Arabidopsis thaliana: one gene and its partners. The protein of the gene in region 4 interacts with the protein of the main gene of each other region in a pairwise test. Each region holds a gene or a part of one and is shown on either strand. Other genes may lie near its edges.

The links.
Region 1: the proteins of DRNL (region 4) and AT3G56270 interact in binary tests that used the Arabidopsis thaliana proteins (3 or more experiments, as listed by UniProt).
Region 2: the proteins of DRNL (region 4) and ROXY2 interact in binary tests that used the Arabidopsis thaliana proteins (3 or more experiments, as listed by UniProt).
Region 3: the proteins of DRNL (region 4) and LSU2 interact in binary tests that used the Arabidopsis thaliana proteins (3 or more experiments, as listed by UniProt).

Annotation. Positions count from the first base shown.
Region 1 is NC_003074.8:20,868,142-20,872,782, reverse strand, and holds AT3G56270 (WEB family protein (DUF827)), read right to left. Parts: upstream 2,784-4,641; 5' UTR 2,564-2,783; coding exon 2,363-2,563; intron 2,069-2,362; coding exon 929-2,068; 3' UTR 676-928; downstream 1-675. Other genes in the region: AT3G56260 (uncharacterized protein), read left to right, coding at 3,991-4,584; AT3G56250 (uncharacterized protein), read right to left, coding at 4,627-4,641.
Region 2 is NC_003076.8:4,540,053-4,543,135, reverse strand, and holds ROXY2 (Thioredoxin superfamily protein), read right to left. Parts: upstream 1,357-3,083; 5' UTR 1,222-1,356; coding exon 799-1,221; 3' UTR 551-798; downstream 1-550.
Region 3 is NC_003076.8:8,442,518-8,445,907, reverse strand, and holds LSU2 (response to low sulfur 2), read left to right. Parts: upstream 1-1,806; 5' UTR 1,807-2,151; coding exon 2,152-2,436; 3' UTR 2,437-2,629; downstream 2,630-3,390. UniProt on the Arabidopsis thaliana protein: May be involved in defense responses monitoring. Probably implicated into osmotic stress signaling.
Region 4 is NC_003070.9:8,713,602-8,717,036, reverse strand, and holds DRNL (DORNROSCHEN-like protein), read left to right. Parts: upstream 1-1,658; 5' UTR 1,659-1,727; coding exon 1,728-2,648; 3' UTR 2,649-2,672; downstream 2,673-3,435. UniProt on the Arabidopsis thaliana protein: Required for correct embryo patterning and cotyledon organogenesis. May positively regulate the gibberellin signaling pathway leading to germination, hypocotyl elongation, and leaf expansion.

The DNA of each region.
Region 1 (4,641 bases), on a different chromosome or scaffold from region 4:
GTATTATATTATATTTTACAACATGAAAAATGATCAAAAAGCTACAACATTTAATGTTTAGGAGAAACAAAATTAATAAATAAAGATAAAGACGTTGTCTTTGGATTATTGACACGAAACGAGCGCAAAGCAACCTAATTTAAAAAAGTGCAAACGTACCGTCAGATAGTTGACACTTGGAAAAGAGTAGCCCACGTGTTGGGAGTGGCACATTTTAGCCTGAGACAATGATTTTGCTAACCCACGCCACTCTTACTTTTCAACTTTATTTTTTAATTATTTATTTATTTAGTTCCTTTTCCTTCTTTTGGTTTCGTTTGGTCCCACGCTCTAAGCCAATACGAGGATTCCAGACGAAATCTTTGTTGTGAAGACTAAAACACGTGGCATTAAGTTATTGGAGATATCTAGATTGTCTTAAAAGCCTTGACCACGTCATCATTCTGTATCTGACCACTCCAAACTTATACAGTATAAAGTACAAACTGGTCAAATCGTAAAATGTGTTTTTATCTCCGTAGTTCAACCTGAATGTTTCAGTTTCTATTTTGAGAATCTAGAAACATTATAAAGACCAACGTTATTAAAAAATAAACAGTTGAGGACCTACGGTATTGATTATGGATCACCTAATTAGCTAATCTAACACTTAAAATGCATTAGTTAAGAAAGTGCCCACCACCTAAATCATATGATCAATGCCCTTCACTAACTCCCATAATTAATTATGATTACTAGAAGCTTTAGTTTTTACTATAATGTTTTTCTTTTTGTCACATTTGAGTCAAAACAACACATCTCACTCTAATCATCTGTGTTTTGCTTTTGATGGAAGCAACAACACCCATCAATGATCAAACCAAGAATAAAAAAAAACAGGAATCGAAATGTGCAAAACATGTTTTCAAAGGTTGGGTATTTTTTTAGCTTACTCTGTTTTTCTAATGGAAGCTTGATGTGTTTGTATGAACCTAAACTTTCTCCTCGGCGTGACCAACTGTTTCTCATCTTTTCGGTTAAGAGCATTACCCATTGAGACGTTACGTTTCAGCATTGGCTCAGGGAGATCGATCAGTGGCTCGTGCTGATTGATATGGCTCAAGAAAGAGCGCTGAGGAAAGCTTTCTCTTTTCATCGAGCGTTTTGCTCCAACAGCTTTCTGGTCTTTCCATGACTCTATGTTCCACTGCCGAAATGCCTCTTCTGCTTCAAGTTGCTTCACACTAGCGATTTCTACCCGGTTTAACGCAACTTCCAAGGCTTGTTTACTTTGTTTAACTTCTTCGTTAGCTTCCTCCAGCTTCCTCAAGATCTCTATTCTTGAGACATTGGTGGATAATTCTTTGTTCATCTGTGCTTTAAGTGTTAATGGAAAACATGGTGTCTTAGGGAAGCAGAGAGCGTCTTGGTTTCTTCTGCTGGATAATATGGTCATTTCAGCAAGCGCAAGTGCTTCCGCTGCTCTTGCTGCCTCTTCCATTTTTCTTGCAGCAACCAATCTCATATCTGCAGTTCTCGGGCAGGTTTTGCTCTGTTTATGGAAAGCTGTATCATAGGTTTCAACTACCATCTTAATCTGTTCACATTGTGGATTCACTGGTAAATTCTCGGTATTGAATCTCTCTACTTGATCAGGACCTGCTGGTTTAAACTTCAAACTGTTAAGTTCCTCCGCTAGAGACGCTACTCCAAGGACATCTTTCTCTTCCTTCGTTTTCATATTCAGAGATTCAGCATAAGAGTGGATCAACGCAAGATCATCCATGGTTTTACAAAGATTCATACCAGCTTGCTTCATTTCCATGGTCATCAGATCCGGAGACTTCAGGGGATTACGATGGCAGTGCTCATCGACCATCTCTTTGGAGTGTGAACGCAAATGTTGAGGGGTCTCCTTGCATCTCAGTGCTTGCTGCTGAAGCTGCCACTTCAAATCTTCAAAAATCCTTTTGGTTGATCCAAGAGCTTCAAGAAGATCCAGAGTCTCTAACTCTTTCATAATCAGATCCTTCTCAAGCTCCACTGTCTGTTCTTCCATTCTCTTTATGTCAAATTCTCCCACACAGTCCTGAAGAATGACAAACCAAAAAAACATAAAACAAATCATGCTATATAATACCAAAAAAAAATCTTACATAACATCTTGCTAGTTCCAGAATCAATTGCCGCAAATGCAAACATCAAATTAGCTATCACTTATTACAAAATATCTACTCAGTAACCAAATCGAATCAGCTATCAGTTATTCAGTTTGTTAGCATACTTAACAGTTAGAGAACATACATTTCAAACTTTCAGTGACATTAATGCTCAAACTTTAAATGAACAGACTTTGTAAATCGGAAACTAGAAGAGAACTCACGTAATTGTCTTCAAGATTGAAGGGAACCCAGAACCCACGACCACCATATAACTGTGGAGAAATGTCGATTTCAGCTCTCAAGCATCCTCTCCTTGTATTCTCCGGGTTGAAATTCTCGGACCCGGTTCCGGTTCTCACTTCCCGGATTACGGGTGTACCGGGAATCGTCTCCGCCGCAGGGCTCTGTTGCCTCTCCGCCATTTCCGTTAGCTCGAGAACGAATTGGTTTGTACAAGTGAAAGGGAAAGATAATGAAAGAGTGATCTATTTACAGTAATCATAGTTACTGATCAGAAGCAAACAAGATTGAGAGCTTCTCTATGATTGTGTTTTTCTCGGTAATGAAAGTCACTCACGAGAGAGACTCGAAGAACAAGAATGCAGGCTTTGATGATGCTACTACTAATGGCTGTGGCGACGTGGCTTCTATTGATTGGTTATCTGATTAATTAATAAATGAAAATTTTGGGCCGTTGATTAAGGAAGCGATATTGGGCCGTTGGTACGAAGTTCAAGTTCGTCTATATTGGGCTTTTTTGTGAAGGAAATTCTTACGTATGTGTTGTTTGTTTCTGTTCAAATACGAATATCCGAAAATTGTTATAATTTTCCCGTGCGATATTAGTGTATAGTAAATGTATGAGTGAAATAAATAGGTGGAGCTTTCCCTTATAGTTTTCTAACCAATTTGTGTGGCCATCACATTAAAGCAAAATCCGAGTAGGAGAAAACGGACCACGTACGAATACGATTGGAAACGACCATTAAATTATACGACCTCCCTCACTCAACCGTCCAAATTCATCACCGTCGTCTTTCGATCTCTCACGTTTCTATTTATTTCTCCGCATACGTTTCTTCCAACTAATTAGAACCGACAAATATATATATCTTTTCTAATTACTATTGTTGGGAGTTACCAGTTAGCACTTGACATTGGTACGTATTCAGATGGTTTGGTCTGACACTCTGAGTAGTTCCCTATTATATCCTATCTAAATTATCATTTCATTAAATGTAAACCATTATATCTTTTGGATGAACATGCCCCAAACTTTTGGTCAGTAGTTTCAAATTACGACAAACAAGGTTAGTAGTCTTGATATATATTAAAACGTGTGGATTTGTTGGTCAATAATTATTTCCTTAATTATAAGAACACCAAATAAAAAGGTTTATAGAGTGGAATCCCACAAAAGGTAACATATTAAATACTCTAAGCAATGCTTACTACAGTAACTGTTTACCAATAATGTGATCCTCACCTCACGACTCTCTTATTATTAATGAAAACGCATTAAGTAATGCATACAGTAAGATAGCCACCTTTCATTTATTATCTAACCAATTTTTTCCCCTATGTATGATCTTCCATATACTTGTAATATGCTCATCCATATGAATTTTTCCTAAAGAAAATAAAAAAGCAGAATAAATATCCACGATTATATACAACCGTGCAAAGAAGATTCTTTTGTTTCATCGGCAAACTTGTTTTACTCGCAATACATATTACTCTTTGTCACCTCTAAAGAAGCTTCGAAACTAGCACTTGTTGTTTCAATTTTCGTACATCAATTCTCATCAAAAGCCGACTCAAACATAAACCGAGAGTTTATAAAAAACAGATGTCAGAAAGACTAGAAGATGACTTTGCAATCGATGAAGAGAGATCCTCCTACTATGGCGGAGCCTCCATACCATTCATATGGGAGTCAAGGCCAGGAACACCCAAAAACCACCTCTGCTCCGATTCCTCTCTTCCTCTGCCTCTCACACCGCCGCCCTCATACTACTCCTCCGGGATTTTGTCGACACCAAGGACGCAAAGCAAGGTGAGATCAAAACTAAGTAAGTTTCTGTCCTTCTCCATGTTCAGTGATCTCAGGAGGAGCAATCACGGTAGCAAGAAGACGGCAAGCTCATCGTTTTCTTGGTCTTCTACGTCATCTTCATCTTCCTTTTCCTCCTCGCCACCACATTCTTTGAAAAAACGTATGAGTCACGACAAAAAATCGCCACTTCTGTACGCTAACTACGAAGAGGATGAGCTTAGGTCTTCACCAACCTCGACTCTGTGTTGCTCCAACGGGGGAAGACTTGGCTGTAGTTCTTCAATGGGGAGTGTGACAAGAGCTCTGTTCTCTGGGTCAATGGAGGGTATGAAGAGACATGAGACCACAGGTAAAGCTCTAATCATCAGCGACATGAATAAAGCTTGATTATGTGAATAAAGCTTGGTTTTTTCTATGAGCTGCTTCGCCTCATTGAACAGAGAG
Region 2 (3,083 bases), on a different chromosome or scaffold from region 4:
GAATTATTCTAATGAGTATAACTTATCTCAAGGTATATATGCTATTTAGTTCCTTCTTTTACTCATCATGGTAATTGATGAGCCCTTTAAAGTTGTAATGGAAGTGAAATGTTTAAAAACCTTCCAAACTCAGATAATGTGACCTTGTAATTGTAGTTTTCTTACAACTTTGAGAAGAAGAAAAAACAAAGAAAAGGTGACATGTGATTGTATGAAATATGAATGACTGAAGAAGTGTTCTCTAATTTGTTTTTTAAAAGCAAAAATGAATTAGGAAGGAATTGATAGCTGTAAAATCAGTGACGTTATTGGATGATCATGTACGGGCTCTTCTTGACGCAACGGTCGGGTCAAAATCACGGATTATTGTTAGTGGGTCTCCACGTAATCTGGAGTGGGGACCCCTCATGAGGTGATTATTTCCCCCACAAGTTAACAGTTATAACGGTTAAGATTTTAGGTCATGAAAATAACCTCCTCGTTCTTGTCTTAGTTTGACCTTTAATTTTATTTTATTTTCATGGCAAATTTTTATTTGTGAAAAATGACCATTAAATTTTGCAAATCAACTGTCAAATTGTAAAATTAGAGATAAGAAAGCTAACAAGAGACATAGCGATTAGTTAACATTTATATATTAGTGTGATTTAAGATAGACAAAGAGCTAAGCTTAAAACAAACGCATCACTCTTCTCTCTCACTGTCTCTAATTCAACACTGGGATTAACCTATTTCTTCTGTCCTTAAAAACCAAAGATAAACCAAAGGTTGATATTTGGAGGATGAGATTAGCACTCATCAGAGCCAAAGAGCGCCAGCATCTTTGAGAAGAGGGACGAGTGAGCCATTGATATGTGAAGCCATCACTCTCTCCATTGCTCCTACCATCTTCCCTCCGATGAACACCACCGGAAGTGCCCCCGGAGATGTGGCGCCACCGCTGGAACAGCCAAGGAGACGGAGGAGAGCTCGGTGGATTTCAACTCCGTAAGGGAGGAGGTCGAGCTCGTGGACGGCGGGGCTGACGCCCATTCCACGGAAGAGACGCTTGATGGCATGGCACATGCAGCAAGTGCTCACGCTGAATATAACCACCGCATTCTCTGCCGCCATCGACTCTATCTTCGCCAGTGTCTCCGACGGAAACACATTCATGTTGTTCATCACCTTACTGTTGTTGTTGTAGGACAACGACCCTCGAGTTTCTGTTTTGTATTGCATCTTTTTTTGTATTCTTAGAGAAAAAGAGAAAGAGAATAAGAGAGTGAGAGAGCGAGAGAATTTGTGTGAGAGTTGGTTGGGGAGAGAGTGAGAGGCATGCAGAGTATTTATACATGGTGAAGTTCTAAATTTAACTGGTAGGTTTTAATTTATTTTAAAATGGCATATTATTAGAGAGGATATGCCAAATGATAACAAAGTTATTGATGTGATAGTCATGGACCATCATGGTTGCTAGCTTTTGTTATGATAGGATGATATTTTTAAGAGACATTTGAGTCCCATTTAAGTATAATTATTTATTTTTTCAAGATTTTACAACCATATAAAAGTAGAATATTATTCAGTTAAATAGGTTAGTAGAATAAGGGAATTGTTGGTAATGGATATATCTATCCTTCTTGTCGGCTTTTTCTGTAATATCTTCTTACACATTTACACTAGCTAGCTAGTTTTTGTCTGCGAAATTGGTCCAATATTATCAAATACAAATGGTCCAATATATGCATATATATAAATACAAATGGTCCAATATTCATGTGTATATATATATATTGTATATAGAGACGCGCCGAATAATAAATTTGATGCTGCCAACATTATGTGAGCAAGTCGTAACGCAGAGATGAGGTCGAATGTTTGGATATATGGCCGGTGGTTTTCCATTATATTCCGTATTCACTTTATGCTCTCAAATCCTCTCTAATCAATCTCTATAAACAAGCTACATATAATACCATTATCAATATGATCGCAAAAGGAGTGGAATATATATTTTGGATTGTGTAATCCAATTAGCATCTCACAAATGTAGCGCTAAACATATATACAAGTTGGAATATCTTTTGGTGATCAAGATCGAATTTCGTAACCATTTTATTATTCTTAGCCCCTAATGGGATATAGAAAATTGGCTAGTTAATGTTATATAAAAAGAAATAAAGGAGTCATCAATATTCTTGAGAATGAACTTTTAAAAGAGATTGTAGTTGCCAACAGTGTTTAGTTGCTTACCATCAGAATGTCAGTGTTCTTGATGTATGGAAATTACAAGTTGGCATGTGTTCTTGGTTTGCTACCATCTTTTTCTTTATATATGATTATTAAATGTTGTGAATTCAGTTAGACAAAAATGTATAGTTCCATATATATATAGTTTGGATTTGTAGATAATTTTACCAAAAGGCTGAGAAAAAAGGTTGAATTTTACAAAGTTGGTCACATGCTTTTTTGGCTTTCATGCATGCTTCTGCCTTCCTTTTGTTATCTGCAAAATTTGCCTTCTTGTTTCTCATGTTTGACCAACCCCTTCCATAAAAAGGAAAAATGCTAAAATAAAAACATTTATCGTTGTCAGCACAAACAACTTGTTATGAAATTTGTAGGTACCCAATCTGCAATATAGAGTCACCTCTCATCGATTGATTATATATGAATAATATCCCTAAATTATTCATATTCTATACATCGATCTATTTGAGAACATTTCTGTTACTTTTTAAGAAAATAAAAGAAAGCTTAAGATATGGGTATATATAGTTTAAGTGAGTCCGAAGAGTTAAATGTCCCTTCATTGGTTTAAGATTTGGTGTATAAACTAATTAAAGCTGATTTATATGATTTGGAGGACTAAATCTTTGTTCTTAAGATGATGATAAAATAACAATCTTTGAGGGATTGCGTTTGTCGGACCACTTTATCATATATTATATGGAAAAAATTGGAAGGCCGTTACAGAAGCCTTACGTAACAGATTTCATCAGATGTGTATTTCTCGTTGACCGGCTGGTCGGTCGGATATGACCCTGGTCAAGTAACTGTTGCTTATGCTTTTCAGGAAGGGTATTTTCGGTATCATTTAA
Region 3 (3,390 bases), on a different chromosome or scaffold from region 4:
CAGCATCCATAGAGCATATTCCAACTAAAGATTTCAACAGTTGGTGACCGGTCCCTCTGTGTTTTCCAATATATTTAACACAACTTTACATAATTTTATAACCAATATTGTTTAAGATTTTGAATTATAGCTAAAAAGAGAGAAAAAAACAATATTGATTCGGGCCATCAATTTTTTTGGACCAACCTTTGCTAGGAAAACGAAGATACACATCATAAGGTGACGTATAGAACAAAACGAACAGACAAATAAAGCATAACAGATGTAGTTTGTAAAGAATAAATGGTGTAGAACGAATAGAACAAAAGCTGAATAGATATCTTAATTAGTTTGGTGCGAGTAACGGATAAATGAGTTATCAAATTTTGACTAATGTTTTGAAGTTTCGAAATATATATATGATTGTATTAATCGGTATTTAACGCTTATGATTTTTCAGTTTATACTTGAATCACCCTACTTCTTGAGGTTGGTGTGTTGTCCAAATATGATTCACAAAAACATGACCAAGAGTAAAATCAAACCGCACCGTATTATTTTATTATGCTTCATGACACCATTCATAACCAAAGTCTTCTTAGTTTTCCCCATACACACCAATAAAGATACTAAAGAAATAGCTAATAAGTAATTTAAGAACTATGAATCGTAGCCGTAACTTTAACTATACAAGAATAGCTGTATAATCGTGACAGCCCTTGACTTTGGGAGATATTGTCCAATACTCCAGTTAAGAGAAAGAAGTGGGAATGTGGGTTACATCGACAAAGGCTTTGCTCCAAGTTAATTAATGGCTATAATTGGCGGAATATATTAGTGGAAAATATAAAGGTGAGAAAATGATTTCTACATGCCTTTTAGCAATTAAGAGAAATAGTGGAAAACAATTATTTTCTCTATATTCTATGAAATAGCAAAACAGAAAAGAAAGAAAAAAGAAAAAAAAGAAGTTCCCCTTTGAAATAAGTGGGGTTTCATTGAAAATTCAAATAGTACTACTCTTTCATTCTTTTAGTGTCCAGTCAACGTTCTCGAGAAGAAAATATATTCAACGATTAGTTTGTTGTTACATGAGTTTATTGAATTAAGTTTTTAGAATGAATATATAAAATCTTGAAAATTGGATGCTTCAGAAGCAATTTTCAGAAATTTTGTTCAATTCATGGTAATAAAATGTTCAATTAATTAAAGTCATTTTTCAAGTGCAAGAATGGTAATGTTAGCATAATACAGCGGATATATATATCCTCTTTGAGGATAAAGAGTTGGTGGATATAAATATAACTCATGTTATTTCAATAATAGTCACAATCTTTTCTTTACATGCGTATATGAAAACATATTTGCACAACTTATTCCTGAGTTTAGGACCATTATTAAGACGATGTATTATTATGATCTATTAACATATAGTTGTCTTTGATGAAATTGACAGCTCATTGGGGCTATAATGTAAGAATTGTTCATTACTTTTACTTACGAGCTACAGTTTAGACTTGTATAAATAGATTGAATTACTAGTATTTATGGTCCAGTAAATATGAAATATTCATTACTTTATATGTATAGCAATTAGATCAAAGTAAAATGGTCCAAAATATGTTTTAATCCACTTTATTCAATTAGACAAAGAAATTTATTCATTCTTAGAAAGCAAATACTCCATTTTAAAAAAAAAATATCAGTTTAAACAAATATTTTTCATTTTAAATCCGTTGCCATATGTATTATTGAAATGACAAGAGTTATTATGACTGAACCAATACATTTTACTATATTGATTGATAAATTTTTATTATAACTTATCTCGTGTCTCCTCTAAAAACAAATTTGTCTCTAACCAATAAAACAATTATATGGTACCACTAAAATATTCCAAAATATTAATTGGACCCAACGTGTATATCGAAAATAATTTAAAAGAGAAAATGTTCTAGAATCTAGAGGAAGAAAATAACTCACCAGAAATAAGAAAGAAGAAGAAGAGATATAGATACATTGAACCTAGACATAAAACCCACCCAAACCCCAGTCTCAAAGACGCCTATTAATAAGGAACGTTCAAGAACCAAAACAAAACACAAAAAAACTCAAAGTGACCAAAATAACCAAAAGGAGAAATCTTTAGAAAACCTTTAAAAGTTCTTAAAAATGGGGAAAGGAGGAAACTATGTGACGGTGGCGGCTTCCGAAGTGGACGAGCTACGACGGAAGAACGGAGAGATGGAGAAAGCTGTGGAGGAGATGAAGAAAGAGATGTTGCAGTTGTGGCGGCGGACACAGGTGGCGGAAGAAGCGGAGGAGCGTCTCTGCTCACAGCTAGCCGAGCTTGAAGCAGAATCTTTAGACCAGGCTCGTGATTACCACTCTCGTATCATCTTTCTCATGAACGAGCTCTCTCGTCTTTCTTCAGACTCTGCCTCTGCCTCTCCGTAGAATTAGATAGATATTTGCTTTTAAAGAAAGATAGGTTTTTTAGATTGTTTGATGTATCCTCTTATCGGCTCATATCAATGCCAATATGTAGAGTTGTCTTTAAAACAAATATGGAAGTTTCAATCAAAAAAAAAAATCGATGTTGTTACCGATTGATTTTTGCGATTAATGATGAATGAAAAGTCTTGAAAACAATTTAAAGTAAATGATATTCGATGTTTGGTTTGACTAAAATGGAATTTTGTTTGTAAGACGTGTAAATTACTTTAACAGAAAGAAAATTTAAAGCAATTATGGTCATGTTTCCTATTATTATATGTGAAATGACCAAATTACAAATAAAGATTTTGCTTTTAGATTTTTGCGTATTATATGAAGAAGTGTTTGAATTCTACTGAATCATTGACATTGCAACAGTGGTTTTGGTCTTTCTAGAGTTTGACATAGTAAAATTGGAGAACTTGGTTTGCTTTTGGGAGAAAAAAGGGAAACGAATATACGGATCCAACGCCAGTGTACTATGTACAAATATAAACAAAGGGTTTGTTTTTGAACAAATCTAGTTTCTGACAGAACCAGGTGACCTGACGTGGGCAAACAAGTCTAGTCTTTTTTTTTTGTTAACCAAAACCCTTTAATTTTTCATAAATTGTGATGCAATTAAAACAAACAAATATTTATAATGTTTTTTTTTTTGAAGTATAACTAGAATTGTCTTTGGAGAGACTTGGAAACTGATGATCCGAGAGGAGATCTCTTTGAATTATGAGAATGATAATAGTTATCTTGTATTTCTTTCTAACCATATAAAACGGATTTTCTGACAAAATGTTTTGTGTTTAAGTGTACTTTTGTAATACCAACTTAATTTATATAAGCAAGTTGTGCACAAAAAACCAATTATGTGCAATTCAAGTTTACATTCATAATTTCTTAGCAAAAAACAGAGAGGCT
Region 4 (3,435 bases):
TTCAAGTTTTCCACAAATTTCCACATTTTTTAAAAGTGATTTCGATTCCTTACAAACTGAGCTCTGTGGTGTTCAGCTTCATAATCCACTAATTCCACAAGGAGCTCACGACTTCTCTTCCTTCAACATCTACTGTTTGTAGACATGATTTGCCAACGTTTTGTTGAGGAAACATAGTTTTGTTTTTGTTTGCCTCACATATTTATTCCATTTTTTTGTTTGTTATTTTTTTCTTTTCAATCTGCATATTTTTTCGCGGCACAACCTAAATGAAAAAAAAATTACATGCAATTAGATATGATTGTAAATCGTTATATATATAACAACGGCAAAATATTTAGACACTCCTAAAAGACTTCTGCGTTGATATATTTTTTTTCTCCTACGCGATATATGTCAATAATTACGTGATAAACATAATAACATACGTGATAATTGCATGCAACCCTTATATTTAGACGATTGATAATTTTTTCTCCTAGGCGTGATAAAACTTTTTTTGACGGATTTTTTTTTTTTGCATTCAACCCTTATATTTAGGGCTCGAATATGAATGGAGCTTTACAGACATTAATTGATCAAGAATGTGAGAGAGATTTAGATTATTTTTTATGTAAATGCGAAATTACATTAATTATCAAACATATATATACGAAATTAGTGGTGGAGATTGATTTCCGTAAACGCAAAGGGTCATTAGTCACAATCGAGCTACAGTAGGAAAGCCCTAAAGAGGCTACACCATGAAGAAAGAGCCCTAGTTGAGACAAATCCACGTGACTTTGGTTTACAGATTAAAAAGCAAAACCCTAAATAAGCAAATCGACCATAATCTCGTAAAAAGAACAGACAAAACACAACCTCATGTAGAAGGAACAATTTCTGCGCGCCGCCAGTGTTATTAATTCAGAATCATAATTTCACGATTTTCAACCCTCTCCTTTTAAGCTTCAACTCCAACATCATAATTTTCCCTTCCACAAACTACTGTATAAATCACTTTTAACTCTATTGCTTATTATTATTACTGTAATTCATTATTATTATAAATTAATGACCATTGATTATTTCCCAAAACACAATTAAAGAAAAGTGCGTAAAGATTAAAGAATAATATGACCAACGGAAATAGCTGAAAACGATGACCTTTGAATTTGTTCAAAAATAAATGAAATCAATGATTTTATAATTTTAATTTGTAAATTGTTCAAGAAAGTTTTCTGAAATATATTCATGTCTTTCACTTAAAACAAAAGAATAAATCGACCTTTAATCAACAGTATCAAAGGACCTTTATACTCTGACAATAAGAAAGAATGGTGCAAGGGTTAAGATAAAAATAGTACATCATAATTATGAATTTGTTACTTGTCAAAAAGACATGAAATATGTAACTTATAACTGCTTTTATGCAAGTCCGTAGAAAAGGAAAAAGAAAAGACATGTAAGTTCGAACGTGGAACAAGAACTTCGTTAAACGTACTTTTGCTTTCTGCATCTCTCATAGATTCACAACTCACAAGTCAATAAAAGATGCAATGCAAGTCCATTTTTTTAAATTATATATTGGGTCAGGTCCATCTTAAATTAAAAACAATAAAAATGTATATTTTATTTTCTATAAATACGTAATCAGCTATCATCACATTCAGGTGCCTCACAACCCTAAGACAATCACAGAACAAAAAGAAAAATTCTTAGCTTTAAAAATTTCCCTTAGGTCAACCATGGAAGAAGCAATCATGAGACTCGAAGGTGCCGAGCACAGAGAAACCAACATCCATTCTTTGAAAAGAAAGCCATCAAGAACTTCCTCGACAGCTCCTGGCTCTCCCGGAGGAGTAACTACCGCAAAAGCTGCCTCCGGCGCCGGCGCTTCCGGTGTCTCTACGATAAGGTACCGAGGCGTGAGGCGTAGGCCATGGGGTCGTTACGCAGCTGAAATACGGGACCCATTGTCCAAGGAGAGACGATGGCTCGGAACATTTGACACGGCCGAGGAAGCAGCTTGCGCATATGACTGCGCCGCTCGAGCCATGCGTGGTCTTAAAGCTCGAACCAACTTCGTCTACCCAATGCCTTCTCTCGACTCTTATCACCACCGTATTTTCTCGTCTCCTCCAATGAATATGTTCCTTCTACGAGACGTGTTAAACTCTCAGTCTCTTTCTCCGTTAACCACTTTCGCTTACCCGCCTTGTAATCTTTCTAACGTAAACGACGTTGTTCACGAGTCCTTCACTAACGTCAACGATGTCTGTGAAGATCTCTCGCCTAAAGCTAAGAGGTCAAGTACCATTGAGAACGAGAGCCTGATATCAAATATCTTTGAACCAGAACCAGCTAGTTCTGGTCTTCTTCAAGAAATTGTTCAAGGCTTCTTACCAAAACCTATCTCTCAACATGCTTCTATACCTCCAAAGAGCAACCAACAGTCGGTTGGTGTTTTCCCGACGATGCCAGAGAGCGGTTTTCAGACAGATGTTCGTTTAGCTGACTTCCATGTCGAAGGAAACGGATTCGGTCAGGTTAAATATCATGGAGAGTTAGGTTGGGCTGATCATGAGAATGGGTTTGATTCAGCTAAGATGCAGCAGAACGGAAATGGTGGAATGTTTTATCAGTATTGCTTTCATGATGATTATTAGAATATTGTTGTTGTTCTACTTTTTACGTGCTTATCACTTCACAGTTTCTTTAGGGTTGTAAGAAATGAGGTTAAGGGTAACTAACTCAAATCTTTTGTCTTTTAATTTTTCGTCTAGTGCTATGATCAATTTATCTCTATGTTTTAGCAAAGAACAATTTTTATCTGAGTATGAGCGAAGTTAATTAATTGTGTATGACATATGTCGGTTATGAGCAAAGGTAATAACAAAAATAAAGTAAAAATACTCGAGGTGCTGGATGAAGACAATACCTAAAGGACAAAAATATATATCTTGAACAAATTAAGATTTTTTTTTCTTTTCTATAAGTTGACTTCAGAATCATAAAGACAGCCTTTGTCCTCTTGCTTTTTCTTCTTTCCCTTTTCCCTCTCAGATCACCGTAAGGGCATAATTATATTTAGGTTCACAAAATCCTTTGTCCATTAAAGTATTTGCACCATCAAAACTCAGTAAACATATACTTAAGGACTCGAATTTGCATCAATGTTTATAACCCTTATTCAAAAAAACCATATCCCAATTATGATCTTTAGGGGTACTCTTCAAGTATCCAAGAGATCTTCTAAATATTGGAATTTCTAGTGGATGTGATATGAACGATGTTGGGACTGTCTTTAGTTTTATATGATCACATCAGTCTATATTAATTTTTATTTTAAAACAAAACATTATATAAAAATATATCATAAAATTATTCAATTATCGATATTCATTCAAAATAAAATCATAACACTTATTTGAATTTGAAATCTCGTTGTTACTA